2 linked regions of the Xenopus tropicalis genome follow. The protein of the gene in region 2 interacts with the protein of the main gene of each other region in a biochemical or structural test. Links are inferred from orthologs where the notes say so. Each region holds a gene or a part of one and is shown on either strand. Other genes may lie near its edges.

Evidence for each region. The genes of interacting proteins can lie anywhere in the genome.
Region 1: the proteins of patj (region 2) and pkp4 interact in a test that uses a peptide from one of them, tested with the Homo sapiens proteins (2 studies listed by IntAct, with this or other methods). The link is inferred for Xenopus tropicalis from reciprocal best matches to the Homo sapiens genes PATJ and PKP4.

The regions. Positions count from the first base shown.
Region 1 is NC_030685.2:73,515,633-73,519,931, reverse strand, and holds part of pkp4 (plakophilin-4), read left to right. Parts: coding exon 1-74; intron 75-1,389; coding exon 1,390-1,578; intron 1,579-4,299. UniProt on the Homo sapiens protein: Plays a role as a regulator of Rho activity during cytokinesis. May play a role in junctional plaques.
Region 2 is NC_030680.2:85,652,210-85,656,508, reverse strand, and holds part of patj (inaD-like protein), read left to right. Parts: intron 1-219; coding exon 220-306; intron 307-1,425; coding exon 1,426-1,543; intron 1,544-2,374; coding exon 2,375-2,412; intron 2,413-2,501; coding exon 2,502-2,624; intron 2,625-3,347; coding exon 3,348-3,452; intron 3,453-4,299.

The DNA.
Region 1 (4,299 bases), on a different chromosome or scaffold from region 2:
ACTGTGAAGGGCTGGTCGATTCTCTGCTCTTTGTGATCCAAACCTGTGTGAACACATCGGATTTTGACAGCAAGGTATTTTATATTCTTTATTCTTATGTAAACCATTATCAGAACAAGCTCTAGGCACCGGGTATCAGGGAGGTGTGAGCCGGGACAGGGCAGTGTCTAACTAACAGTCCTGCAACAGGTCGGGTACTTGTGGGTTACCCTCAAGGAAAGTGAGTGCCCTGTGGGTTGCGGGTACGATTTTCAGATGTGGGTTGTGGATCTTATCCATATTTCTTATATTATATATTCTACTCCATTAAACATTTTTTTCTACCCCTGCCCACTTCTGATGTCACTTCTGGTTTGCAGCAACAGCTCTTCCTGTTAATGGTGGTCAGCGGGTTGTGGATCGAGGTGCGGATATGGCAGTTGTGGGTTGGGTATTAGGTCAAAGCAAGTAAAAATGTGGGTCCAGGTTGTTGGCCATGGGTCCAGGTTATAGATAGGATATTTACTAGTCTTACTAGAAGGTATCACAGTCTAAGGGCATCGTCCCTTGTACATACCCCCCAAGCTTACAACCCCTGCTGTTAAAGGGATGCAGTCATGGCATGTTGCGCCTGGGGGGGGCTGTTTTGTAAGATTAAACCATTTATAACAGCCTGTGCCAGGTTGTATTTTAATTATTTAATTTAATTAAAGCTTTGTGCCATTCTACCAAGCCTGATGCAGAACATATAAGGCCCCACCCCACATCATTGCCTTGTCCCTTCTCTGAGCATCTGGCAGCTAAACTGTGTAATAGGCCTGTAGCACAAATGCCTTGTAACTACATGGAAAGAAATGTGTTGGCTTATATCTTAAAATGTCACTTAGTGCTAGAGCTGAGCAGAGAAGCCTCAGGAGACCTTCTGCTTCAGTAAGGCAAGCTTTCGATATTCTGCTTGGTCTCCACTCAGACAAAACAGCAGGGGGCACTCTTATTATGTATGTAGGTATATGTGCCCTTTAGCTTGAATGCATAAAACATTCTTACACTTTTTAAATGTTTTTCCTGTATGTGAGTGGTGTTGCCATGGTAATAAGAAGCATAAAAGTTATAGGACTTGCCAAATTAGCCACCCTATATTGGTGCCATCCTAGGCACAGGGTTGCCCCCCTTCTTTCTCTGCTTCTGCCCCTCCATAAGCAGAGTGAATATTGTACAGCCTCCCCTTGTTATCAGTTTAAGGTAAACAAACGCTCCATGTATATTAGCCCTCAGAATCCAGCCAATCTGCTCCTTGACTGCACGGCATTCGGGAAATACTGAGCATTTCTTGCCGCCGAGTGATTTGGGATTAGCAGTGGATATGAAAGCAATGTTTGCTGAGCGCTCCATCTCTTGTTTGTGTTGCAGACGGTGGAGAACTGCGTATGCACGCTGAGAAACTTGTCCTACCGCCTGGAACTGGAAGTGCCTCAGGCTCGAATGCTGGGAATAAACGAAATGGACGGCTTCTGCAAGGAGTCCCCCAGCAAAGAGTCTGACTCCAGCTGTTGGGGGAAAAAAAAGAAAAAGAAAAAAAAGCCCCCGCAGGAAGACTTGGTTGGTATAGCGATAGAAAGAACTGCTACTGGTGCTGATAAGCATAGAATTTTGTGGGTTCCAGCCCTGCTACTAACAGGGAGCATTAGCCCCGTGTTGGAATCTGCTGGTTTTGTTGAGGCTACTCTGCCTCCCCTACAGCTGGCATGTCTCCCCTACACAAGGGCTACAGCTGGCATGTCTCCCCTACACAAGGGCTACAGCTGGCATGTCTCCCCTACACAAGGGCTACAGCTGGCATGTCTCCCCTACACAAGGGCTACAGCTGGCATGTCTCCCCTACACAAGGGCTACAGCTGGCATGTCTCCCCTACACAAGGGCTACAGCTGGCATGTCTCCCCTACACAAGGGCTACAGCTGGCATGTCTCCCCTACACAAGGGCTACAGCTGGCATGTCTCCCCTACACAAGGGCTACAGCTGGCATGTCTCCCCTACACAAGGGCTACAGCTGGCATGTCTCCCCTACACAAGGGCTACAGCTGGCATGTCTCCCCTACACAAGGGCTACACAAGTTGGAGTGATATTCCCCTCAGCAGGCGATCAGCAGAACAATGGGAAGGGAGCAAGATAGCAGCTCCCAGTAGGTATCAGAATAGCACTCAATAGTAAGAAATCCAAGTCCGGCTTGGGACTCCTCCAGTTACATGGGAGTAGGAGAAACAATAGGTTAGCTGAAAGCAGTTCTAATGTGTAGCGCTGGCTCCTTCTGAAAGCTCAGACTCAGGCACAATGCACTGAGATGGCGCCTACACACCAATATTACAGCTACAAATACATTTGTTGGGTCAAGAATAAAAATGTAAATGGTAGAGTGAATTATTTGCTATGTAAACAGTGTAATTTAGAAATATAAAGTATACCATAAAAATCATGACAGTATCCCTTTAAAATACACACTGCTGTGGGGTCTCTCCATGAAATTCGGACACACAACTGAACTGGCACATCCCCATCAGTCCATGAGAAATCCTCCTAAAAGTTCACTCATAAGGAAGCCCTGGTTGAGTCATGGTGCAGCTGCAGTCTTGCTTGAGTTTACTGGCACATTCTCTATAGACTCTAGTTGATCAATATGGAGACTGTGTCCACCAAAGCAAGCAACATGGCAGCTTCCAGTCATTTGTGTTAGTATAAATACAGAAAGAATGAATATGAGCGATTTGCCCTTGTTTAAAGGAATGCGTACAGTTTATTTAGTCTCGGTAATCCCATATATTTATACTTTACATAAACTGCCAACGGCACAGAGATATATTCCCCTAGGCTATAGCTGCTTTTTACCTAATTATCATTTTCTTACATAAAGCCACAAAGAATCTTCAGTCCAAAAGATACAACTGTAATAATGCTAATAAATAATTGTAAGTAACAGGCAGTATCTAGAAACAAGAACTCATATCTCTCCCGGTTCTACTGCCGTAACATCTTGTGAGAAGGAATATAATTTCAAGTGAGCACAATTCCCTGGGCGGCAGCCATGATATTTGCTCTATATCAGCAGCCGTGTAAGGATGCAAGCGGGTCAGCCGCTGCTTTGCACAATCCAATTTCTACAGAAAGAAGCTTTTCCCAGCTCAGGGACTAGAATATGTGTTTTTTATTTATTTAGTATTTTCAAATAGGGCAGGTCAAGCCGTCTGCTCTCTTTATGAATTATGGCTCCTGAACCGGAGTTTGCCGGGAGTTGCTCCTTTGCCCATATAAGGGCACGTGGCTACAGTGTATTAGATGCCAATGAGGTCAGTAACCCTGTAAGGGCATAAGGCTATGTAACGGTAGAGCCTGAAATATTTATATAATATTTATAAGGTAGGTGTCATCATTAATAGCACTAATGACCTCACTAAGCATTTATAAAGGGAATAATGTAGCCCCTATTGTAATCTCTGTGGATATTGGAAGTAATAGAGGAATTCCATGACGCTATAAAATTAGTACAAGTACAAAGGCCGAGAGCTTTTATACAGGTCACAGAACTCTAACGTGACCTTTTGTACCCTTATATTTTACAACGGGGGGTACAGATTTTATTATTATACAGATGTTTTAGTGAGTCATGTGACCTAAAAATCACCAAGCAACGTTTATAAGGATGTATTTTACAGTATATTCAAGGCTCTTCTGTATTATACAGGTATGGGATCCATTATCTGGAAACCCGATATCCAGAAAGCTCCGAATTACGGAAAGCCTGTCTCCCATAGACTCCATTTTAATCAAATAATTCAGATTTTTAAAATTGATTTTCTTTTTCTCTGTAATAATAAAACAGTACCTGTACTTGATCCCAACTAAGATATAATTACCCCTTATTGGGGGCAGAACAGCCCTATTGGGTTTATTTAATGGTTAAATGATTCCCTTTTCTCTGTAATAATAAAACAGTACCTGTACTTGATCCCAACTAAGATATAATTACCCCTTATTGGGGGCAGAACAGCCCTATTGGGTTTATTTAATGGTTAAATGATTCCCTTTTCTCTATAATAAAACAGTACCTGTACTTGATCCCAACTAAGATATAATTAATCCTTACTGGATTTTATAATCCGGAATACCCTTGGTCCCAAGCATTCTGGATAATGGGTCCTATACCTGTATAGTGAATTGTGCACCCCCTGTTGTAAAATATAAGGATATTAAAAGTCACCAAGTAGTTCCATGGCCATATAAAGACATGAGGCCGAAGGCAATCACTCGACTCTAGTTTACAGGAT
Region 2 (4,299 bases):
ATAATTGTTGCTGTGCAACTGTCTGTGAGACTGCTTATTCTATTCGTTAAGAATTAAGGGAAGTCGTTTTTAAGGAGTTTGGAGTTCTAATTCTGTAAACCACTTGTGATTTAAATGATATAGTTAGGGTTAATAGTTAATGTTTGAATAAAGTCTATACCTTTCTGTGAGAAAATTCCATTGCACTGATTTTAAAAGAATTTCCTGTTTTATCTCAAGTGTGCTCAAGGACTTGTACATCTAGAGATTGGAAGACTTCGAGTTGGATCTTGGCTTGCATCCAAAAAAACCTTTGAAGCCAGTCAGGTCGGTTACTGATTCTCCCCCTCCTCTTTATGTATTCATGATTGATATAAAATATATTTTTGTGATTCATAATCTGGAGTCAGATACTGCAATACTATATATCAATGGAATGTTCACCATATTCCCCAGGTAATTTAAAGAATGTCTGACCAGAATACAGTATCAGGTTAACAGTGTAAAAAAAAGGTAGTTCTGTTATTTTGTGAGCCTTTTATGGCAGCGTACAATATAGTACAAAAGCAGCAATGTAGTTTCTGTATATTTATTTAAGTGCTTTATTGTATAACCTGTGAAACCGTACAACTGTATCTGTATTGTAAGTAACAGGTAATTCTTTATTAGATCTAAAAGTCATTTTTTTTTCACTCAATATAAGAATCCACACAGAAGACCCGTTGACTGTATTGGCTTTTTGGGCTGTATATTGGCCCAAAATAGTGTAACAACTAATTGTAGAGCAACTAGCCTTGTTTGAAAAATGGGTATTTATTTGTAGCAGTACTTTTCATTCTTGAGTTTCCCAGTCTATAGCTCTTTCACTGTTTCTGAACTAGAACACTAAGTATTTCAGACCAAAGAAAGGCAAAAGGCAGATATTAAAATAATAGGCACTTTCAAAGATTCCTAAAATAGCTAAAAACATAATATTAATAGAGACTTGTAATGCAGAGAAGCCAGAGGATACACTGCTAACAAGCCTAAATAATCTGGTTGTTCATTGTTTAAAACTTTTTGCAAGTAACTGTTCTAGATTTCTAGAGACATACAAAGAGTAAGTGAGAAAAAGCAAGATGTAGGTCAGATAATATGCAAGCCTATAATAAACACAATAATTGTGTTAGTAGAAGGAAATAATGTGTATTTATTCTCATTAACCTAGCCAGATTTTATTTTAACAACTAGTATTATTTGTTGTGTTATAAATTATATTATATGCTAGTTTACGGGTTAATTCAAAATGTGTATCCATTTGTGGTATAAATGTAACTTGCAGCCACTTGGGGAAATTTCACCTAAAGAAATATAAAAAATATTTTTATTGCCTCTTAAGTAATGCATGGATGTAATGTCTGTTTGTACCATTTAAACTGAAGAACATATTACTGAATTGCACTCTAGATCAACCAAATGAGTTCCCATGGTGTTCTTCCTCCATCATTAACTCCAGTTATTTCCAGCATGCAAGACTATGCTAGCTCCAAGAAATCCTCTGCAGACTCATCACAAAGGCATTCTGGTAAATACTGTGCAGTACTACAATTCTATTACCTTTTTACAGTGGCTTGGAGTTATTGTGCCTGTGACATATGTGGCATTAAAGAGAGAAGGAATGGTTCTGAAAAGATAAAGCAGACAAAGAATACTACAGATATACTTTAAAATCATCAGAAAGTCTTGGGTATAATTTTTGAGTCAGTAAATGGTCATTCAGTCTTACTGTCTCTCTGTGCTCGCTGTGCCCTAACTACTATTCTAAAGGTTTAGCATTCAGAGTGTCTGAAATAAATTTGTGTACGCAGTACTGTGATTGATTAGTAGGACCATACGACCATTGCTTGTTTGTCTTTCCTAATATTTTGTTACCATTTCATTTTATTTTTACAACCATTTTGCTAATGGACAATTAAATAAACAAATACATGGTGGAGCCAGTATAAGCAAATACATTCCTTACTCTGAGTACCAGTATTCTGAACTGAACTGCAGTCAAGACTACATGGAAATGCAGTTACTGAACCAGGGTGATGTCTCACCTTCATTTGTTTTCCTTTTTAATGTGTTGTTCTCTATTTACTTGTGTGATATACAGCATGGCAGTGTTGCAGAAGAGAATAATATAGTATTATATATGGCTGTAATCCAGATAACTTGTGGGAAGGAGAAATATGTCTTCAGAGCAAATATCTAGAGACAGCCCCTTTCAGGGGTCACCTATTGTATTTGTCTTTCTATTGTAGTGCTTTGTTTTGTTTTGTTTTTTTATTTTTGCTTTACCTTTAAATTTAGCACTTCACTTTTACTTTTTCAATGAATAAGTATTTAAGATATCTATCCCCTTTAAATACAGGCACAGACTTGGAGCCACGGACTGTAGAAATTAATAGAGTAAGTAAAGAAAAACTACACTTGCTATAATAAGAGTTGGAGGGAAATATACAATGACTTAATACCTTTCCATTTTCACACTTTGTTAGGGCCCTTATGATGCTCTTGGGATCAGTATCGCAGGAGGGAAAGGCAGCCCATTGGGAGATATCCCAGTTTTCATTGCTATGATCCAAGCTAGTGGTGTAGCAGCACGGACACACAAATTAAAAGTAAGTATCTGTTTTTATCACCATGTGACTTTTACGAACAGTAATGACGCATAAGCAAATTATATTTTGTCTTAATAAAAGCACATTATGGTGAGATGGTTCTACATGTTTTACTTCTCTCATTGACCTTTAACCATAATGAAGGAAAACCAAATTATGCCCCATTCTCATCATACTTTGTTTTATTGGTAAACATGGCAATGACCTATAAAAACCAAGTGCCTATGTTAGAATTATGTATGTATATCTTTATTTATAAAGCGCTACTGTACGCAGCGCTGTAAAGTAGAATACATTAATACAAACGGGGTTATTAAGATAATAATAAATTAGATAAAGTTTAACAATAAATAAAAGATATAGTTGCAATAAGTTAAGAGTCAAAGACACAAGAGAATGGAGGTCCCTGCCCCTTAGAGCTTACAATCTATATATTATGCTGTTTCCATAGAAGATATTACTGTAAGGACGTTTTTTGCTTGTACATTTAAGCAGCTTGTTGTAGAGGCAAAGTTTATAGTAGTGAATTGTGCCAATCTGCCCTTTTATTTGTCATTTAACAAAATTCTGTTAATTCTCAATTTGTACTTACTTAATCTTGCAATATTTTCTATTCTCAAAATTGCAAAGTAAAGAAAATATTCAGTACTGCATTATATTTAATAACCATCTTTTGAAATTAATCCTGACCTGTATGTTTTATCATGGGCTTGTGGGGTATAGGTTGGGGATCGGCTTGTCAGCATTAACCAGCAACCAGTGGATGGGCTGTCACATGCAGAAGTGGTTAATATCCTGAAGCATGCATTTGGAACCATTGTTTTGCAGGTATGGTAATAAATGTAAGGCTAATGCCAGACGAGGCGTAGGGCGGATATTTTCGGAAAGCGGAAAAGAGCTTGCTGAAAATTCCGCCCTATGCCTCCTACATGTGCCTGCACCCGAATGAATGAGATACGCTCGGGTGCAGGCACATGTAGCCCATATATATATAATGCAAAGTCTCGTGTTTTTATGCGCATATCGGCTACATGTGCCTGCACCCGAGCGTATCTCATTCATTCGGGTGCAGGCACATGTAGGAGGCGTAGGGCGGAATTTTCAGCAAGCGCTTTTCCGCTTGCCGAAAATATCCGCCCTACGCCTCGTGTGGCATTAGTCTTAAGCCTCAGATGTTTCAGCTGTGAGACATTGATAACTGTCATTCTGTAGAGACTAAGGCTGATGCCACACCAGGCGTAGGGCTGATTTTTTCCGCTTGCCGAAAAAATCAGCCCTACGCCTGGTGTGGCATCAGCCTAACTCCAACTGGCAGCAGAGCTCACTGCACATGTAAGTGCATTCTAGGAGGGCACTCCATGTTACTTAACAAAATGTACAAAATCACTCTGTTTCACATATGGTAAGTACATTTACAAGTTTTCTGCCTTAATCTGAAATTGCAGGATACTGGAAATTATGAATCATCGTTCCTATAATAGTTGGCTTCTGGCTTTATTAATGTGATTATATTAGTCAAATTTGACTGGACTGCCATGGCTTACAGTGTTAACTTTTTTGTTTGATATTTAATAAAACCGATCCCTTGAGAACATTTTACATATCCCTTACCTTTGCAAATAGCAGTAAACAATAAACCTGTTTAAATGATTTTACAAAAAAAAAAAGAGCTACC